2 linked regions of the Mus musculus genome follow. The protein of the gene in region 1 interacts with the protein of each later gene in a biochemical or structural test. Links are inferred from orthologs where the notes say so. Each region holds a gene or a part of one and is shown on either strand. Other genes may lie near its edges.

Region 1 (3,090 bases):
AGCTTCTACCTTGAACTGCCCGGTGGCTACACCTGCCTTTTACCACACGATGATGTCTGACTTAGGCAGAGGACAGACAACCCAGTGGCTTTGTTCCTCCTGTTGAAGCAGAAGGAATCTCCAAAGATGTTCTCCTCTTGCTCCTGACCCTGGCTGGTGGCCCTGAGGACAGGCTGGAAACACGGGTCCTAACCTCGTCTTGGGTTCCCAGACACAGGGCAGTAGCGGACTGAGTCGGGTCTCTGGAAGTCAGGTGACTTCATTTAGCTCCCAGCTCACTCCAGAAACCCTACAATACCAAGGTCTTTATCTTCCTTAAAACCCTCCAGTGAACTGAGCCCCTTCACCCAGCCCTGTTGTTGGGAAGAGTCCCTACACAGCACTAACAGATACATTGTTCTCATACAGCCTCTCAGAAACAACTTCATACCAAGGACCACAGAGAGAGAGAGACCCGCCAGGCCTCTGGTGTCTTTTGAACCCACAGGACACAAGAATGCAGGCGGGGAACAAGGCCCATGCCAGAGAACCCTTGCACTGCCTGGAAGGAAGGCTGGCCCTTTGTTGGCCAGCCCGTAAAAGCTTTCCCTCCCTCGGTGATGGTCATCCTTGGGACAGGCCACACCGGTATAAACCACCCTGGGACTGCCAGTCAACAGCCCTGTGCTCTTGAGCTCCCCAGTGGGTGTGGCCATATACAATATTTTACTCGTGAGATTGACACTTCCTAGGTCCACATGGACAAAAAACAGGAGTACAGATACCTGGGCATCCCAACAGTTTATGACCCAGGCTTCAGGTACTCATGGAGTCCCGTCAGGAAGAATGGATCTGACTCTTTTCCTGAAACTCATTGGAAGCATTTTGAAATGTGTGGGCTGGTCAGGGTTGTCACACTTGCCTTGACTGATGAGGGATAAGCTATGTAGTGTCCTCGGATGTATGTAGAAAAAATTTCCTAGCCCAAACCAACAGCAGATCCCTGCCTCTTTCAGGAAGCCCAGTCTAAGGTGGACTCCAGTCTGAGGTGCACATGGCCTGTCCTTACAGAGCTCCAGTCTGAGGGAGACAGCCTGTCTTCAAGAAGCCATAATCTTAAGGGAATAGACAACAGGAGCTAAGCCTTCAAGCCCAGGGAAAATATACTGAGTGGTGAGAGGCTCAGCTGTGCTGGTTCTCCGGGGGGGCAAAGGTGCAGCCAGGAAACACTATTAGACATCACTCCACGCCTGGAAGGAGGTTTTAACACTTGCACCAATGATAGAATTAACAACATCAACACCAACAGCCTCCATAAGCAGCAGGACCACAGGATACAACACACAACTTGCGTCCACACCGTCACATTAAGTCACAGCAGCCTACCCACTCAAGCAACCAGGGCCATCTCAGAGCAGGCCTGCTGGGCCAGACTGGAGCCCGAGGCCCCACAGAGCCCCAGCAGGAGAGAAGGTAGCAGTCACCACGCAGGCAGCTAGAAGCCGAGCAAGCAGTTGGCCCCTCACAAGTGTGCTCTCTCTGTCTCTCTCTTTTTCCCTCTCTCTCTCTCCCGTGTCTGTGATGCCCCTCTCTGACTCTTGCTTGCCCTCTGGAGACCAACCTGCAAGTACGTTCGTTTAACTCAAGCTGCCTCGCCTTGCAACGCGAGTCTGTGTTTTTGCAGGAACATTTACACGTCTGCGGATCTTGGACAAACAAATGCTTTCTCCGCTCTGAACAAGGCTCACAGTGACTGCAAAAAGGCAAAAGGAAAGACATCTAAGCTAGAGAGTCAGCAGAGAGAGAGAGAGAGTCCCATGCAACACCCCCTAATGTGTCCACCACGGCTTCCCCACCCAGCTCGTCGGCCCCTAGGCCCTTTCCACATTCTGGAAAGATCCGAGCACTCTAGCAGAAGACAGAGAGAGTGGCAAAGAGACGCAGCGCTGGCAGGACATGTGCCTGCAGGAAGAGGAGGGCACAGGCAGGCAGAGTGCAGGGGGAGGGTAAGCTTCCATGAGGGACAGTGCTGTGCCCCACGAAGACATGGGCCTATCTGGGGCCACAGGGCCCCCACAACTGCTGTGCCCACAACACACCTTGACTCTTCACCTGCTGGGGACAGTGATAAGTGACCCAGGAGACCACCAGGGTACCTTCTCCCTGGAAAAGGGCCTCTGCCCAGACCCTCCACCAAGGGAGAGGGCCAGCAGAAGGTAATCCAAGTCCAGTGGCACTGTCCACCAGCCAGGCCTCCAGAGCCCACAACAGCCTATAAGCAGAGGAAGAGGCCACCGTAGGAGACCTCTGTGGGTGATTTCTGTTGGGCTGGATAGGGAGGGCTTTCCCATCCTGGAGCCTCAAACCCAGGGGTCAAAGCATTTCCAACAGACGAGGACGGGCTACCGCACAGCCCGCTCAAGCTCCAACTTCAGCCCACCACAGTCCACTTCCCACCAACAGACCCCTCAACTCATTCCACGTTGCCCTCCACACCACCCCTACCCTCCAGACATGTGCAAGAGTCTAGAGCAGTGGAAACCAGTTGGATGAGAGGGCCCTGATGCCCAGTGCCCATGCCAACAACGGCCCCGCCACCAATGCCCAGTGGGTGAGAGAAAGTCGGTGCCCAGCCAAGCCAGAGTCCCCTCCCTGAGTTGAGTGTTCCGTATCTACTCACCTTCCACCCACCCCAACCCAACCCTGGGCCAACAATGCCACCACCAAGTCTACCCATTGGTGCCATTAGTGGGGTGAGTGAGAGAGAGAGAGACTGAGGCAGGGCAAGAGCCAGAGGGGAGGTAGGGGTGGGGCAGGGGTGGGGTGGGCAGGGTTAGAGGAGCTGCAGGCGATTGTCTGGAGACCAGGAAGGCTCCAAGGAATTAGACAGCAGCGGCACCAACGTACACGCTCCAGGATTTAAACCGGGATTTCTTGCGCTTTCGTTTTTGACCCTTTCCCTTTCCTCGAACTGATTTTCTGGAAAATATAAAAACAGAAACAGACAGGAAGAGAACGAGAGGGAAGAGAAGAGAGGAGCAATGAAGAAGACAGAGGCAGGAGCAGGAGACCCAAAACTACCCTAGTCACTTCCTGGAGCAGCCTCTAGGT
Region 2 (3,648 bases), on another chromosome or scaffold:
CAAGACACCACCACACGACCCTACTCTGAGCCTCAGTTTCCTAGCCCATCTGACAGGGAAGTAAGTGAAGTTGTTCCAGTTCTGAGTCTATAGGCCCCATTGTAAGGGCCACTTGGATGAGTGTTGGGGACATAGAAACAATATATTCGGCACCTCAGTTATGCTACGTCAAAGTCTGTGAGATTGCAATATAGATTGTCATTCTTTTCTCTTCTTTTCTTTTCTTTTCCTTTCTTTTTCTTTCCTTTCCTTTCCTTTCCTTTCCTTTCCTTTCCTTTCCTTCCCTTCCCTTCCCTTCCCTTCCCTTCTCTTTTCCCTTCCCTTCCCTTCCCTTCCCTTCCCTTCCCTTCCCTTCCCTTCCCTTCCCTTCCCTTCCCTTCTCCCTTCCCTTCCCCCTTCCCTTCCCTTCCCTTCCCTTCCCTTCCCTTCCCTTCCCTTCCCTTCCCTTCCCTTCCCTTCTCTTTTCCCTTCCCTTCCCTTCCCTTCTCTTTTCCCTTCCCTTCCCTTCCCTTCCCTTCCCTTCCCTTCCCTTCCCTTCCCTTCCCTTCCCTTCCCTTCTCTTTTCCCTTCCCTTCCCTTCTCTTTTCCCTTCCCTTCCCTTCCCTTCCCTTCCCTTCCCTTCCCTTCCCTTCCCTTCCCTTCCCTTTCTTTTCTTTTCTTTGTTGTTGTTTTCAAGACAGGGTTTCTCTGTATAGCCCTGGAACTCTCTAAGTAGGCTAGACTGGCCTCAAACTCAGAGACCTGCCTGCTTCAGTCTCCCAGGTGCTGGGATTAAAGGCGTGCACCACCCCCTCCTGACCACACTATAGATTTTTGATGTTCACACACTGATATAACTGCAGGAGCCTAAAATGGGGTCTTAAAAGACCCATCAGTCCTCTAATAGGGCAGGGATATAGCTCAGCAGTAGAGCACCTGCCTAGAATCCCCCTTGAGAATCCACCAGTAAAGGGTTGGGGGACATAGTTCAGTGGTAGAGTATTGGACTAGAATCCTCCAGTAAGGGACTGGAATGTGGTGTGGTTCAGTGATAGAGCACTTCCTAGAATTCCCTAGTGAGAGGTTCTATCCCCAGTGCTAAAAATAAGTGAACAACAAAATCTGGTGATGGCTCTGACTTCCGGGAGGGGCTGAACCAGGCCTGGCTGGGTGGTAAGATGGGAAGGCTACATCATGCAATGAGTGACTTCAGGGTCACCCTCCCTCTGTCCTCTGTGTGCTCCTGCTGGCCTCAGACCCTAGGGCATGATCTTTGCTTCTTTTCCTTTTCTCTCCTCAGAATCCCAATTAGTTGTCCCCAGAACACAACTACCCACAAGGGACGTCAGGGGACACTCTGACTCCAGTGTTCCTCACAGCCTCCTGCTCACAGGAGGCGTCACACAGAATCTGAGATGGCCAGGACCTTCATGGTCCTGTGAGAAAACAGACTCGGGCCACTGCAAGGCCACCTCCAGCTCTGACCAAGAGGAGGCTGGAGCGTTCCCCAGCCATCCAGCCCTGGCAAGCCACCTCGAACTTTCTCGAGGCCACTTGGCACACGGGATCCGGATGTCCCCCAGGACTCTCCCTTCCATACCCCCGTGTCACTCAGTTGGATCCCAGCCACTGCAAGAGCTTGGGAGAGGAGCAGCTGAGAGCTTCCCAGAGCCTAGGAGAGCCAGGCACTGGGAGGGAATTGGGGGTGGGGGTTGGTCAGCACACAACCGGACATAGAGTGATGAGCATCTCAGAGAGAAGCCTTTCTGGCCTAATATCTCTCTCCCAATTATGCCAGGGAGGTGGTCCTGCCTGTCCCCTGAGTAACCACCTGTTTTTGATATTCAAAGCATAGAGCAGCAACGGCCCCGGGAAGGAGTGAGTGAGTTGCCTCTTTGGGACCTGAACAGGGAGGACCTCTTACTCTCATGGCTGCAAAGGGAAGCCAGAAGTGACAGAGGAGTAGGTACTCAGTGTCAGCTTAGGTACTGCTCTTCAAACTCTCTGAAGTCTTCACAATGCCCAGACCACAGGCCAAGAGCACCCAGGTCAGGAATATGTAATGTGGAAGCCATTGAAATTCTTAGGAACTTCTGGGGCCAGGTGGGCTCCATGGAACTGAACCTCAGGAGGAGTCTGAGACATGGCCGTTGTGGTGGCTGCCCTATTCAGCTGAAGGACCACACACAAGCATGAACAAGGATGAGCAAGGCCTTGGCTCTGGGTCACATTGAAGGCTGTTTCTGGGCTCTTTTTCTCTGCCCACATGGGCCCCCTGCCCCTGCCTTCATAGGCCTGGGAAGAATTCTTTGTACTGCTGCTGACTGCTTCCTCTGACATTACATGTCTCAGGGCTTACTTCCTCCCAGCCCTAAGCTGACCGTGGAGTCTTGGGCCGAGAAGCAGCAAAGGTTGCCCCCTCGAATGCCCTACCAGCCCCAGTCCAGGACAGCGCTGAGCCTATGGTCCTGAGGACCCTGACTCTTACCCATCAATAGGGTGCTGATCCAGCTGGCCAAACTGCCAGTGGACAGGGAAGATGTACATATTGTAGTTCTTCTCAAAGTCTCGGGCCAACAGCTCCACGGGGTGGTCTCCAGCCTCCAGGCGCTTCTCATTCTCATGGATCTTCTTCACCTGTAGGGGCGGGATCAGCAGGTGACCAAGGGTCCATCCCCCTCTACCACATAACAAGAGGCCAGCCAAGACCAGAGCTCACAGTGAGGCTAGGAGAGAGGTGCTGGTGTTAGCAGCTTATCCACACACAGATGGGGAAACCATAGCACCACCTGCCCCAAGCCCCCACTGTCTATGGAGACTTTAGAAGAGGCCGAGAACTCAACACTAGGTCTTTGCCATGAGGCTAAATATGCTCCCTAAAAGAGAAGGCCTGTTGACTCAGGAGGAGAGGGAATAGGGTCATGCTCTGGATCTGTCTACTACAGACCTCCTCAGAGCCTCCAAAGGTGGCTGGAAGTTTTTGTCCTGGTGTCAATGGTGAAGGCACCCTGCAAAGTGGGGCATAGGCCACCTTGGGGCCAGGTTCTAGAGATCAGCCCTAGATCTCCATCAGCAAACTCCAGGGAGATGAATAGCAGGCACAGCAGTCCAAGCTGGGAGGAGGTCACTTACACGCAGCTTCTGCTTCTCAGTGAGGAGGTTGTTGCCCTCATCTCTCTCGTACAAGGTGACCAGGACATTTTTGAGCCAGTCACGCATGCGCAGAGGGAATTCAGTCAGCTCGGAATCCAGGCAGGGGGCGATGTCTAGGGCACAAGAGGCAAGATTAATCAACCTACACCTGCCAGAGGGCAGACTCGCCACCTGACTACTGTCTCCTTCTTGTCTTACAGCCCATGAGAACTCTACTGAGCACCCCTGGCCTTGGTGCCTCTCTCTGTCTCTCTGATCCAGACTCTTTCCAGAGTCATAAGTAAAAAAGTCTGCACGGGGAAGCTCAAGACCTTGCTGCTTCCTGGCTTGCACCCAACCTGCTGAGGGGTTCTATCACCCACCCAGATGCTCTCGCACCTCTCTAGGCGATGGCCAGGGTTTGATCCCAGCAGAACTGGAGGCCAACCTCTAGGAGGTGTTTGAAACAACCTGCATCCATAGGTCCAACACAGCAGCAGTGGGGAGAAGGCTTAAACATGCAAAACCCCTAGAACC

The links. The genes of interacting proteins can lie anywhere in the genome.
Region 2: the proteins of Vegfa (region 1) and Sparc form a complex in vitro, tested with the Homo sapiens proteins (2 studies listed by BioGRID, with this or other methods). The link is inferred for Mus musculus from reciprocal best matches to the Homo sapiens genes VEGFA and SPARC.

The regions. Positions count from the first base shown.
Region 1 is NC_000083.6:46,019,391-46,022,480, forward strand, and holds part of Vegfa (vascular endothelial growth factor A), read right to left. Parts: intron 2,959-3,090; coding exon of another isoform or gene 2,887-2,958; intron 1,733-2,886; coding exon 1,601-1,732; intron 1-1,600.
Region 2 is NC_000077.6:55,396,081-55,399,728, forward strand, and holds part of Sparc (SPARC precursor), read right to left. Parts: intron 3,246-3,648; coding exon 3,112-3,245; intron 2,617-3,111; coding exon 2,468-2,616; intron 1-2,467.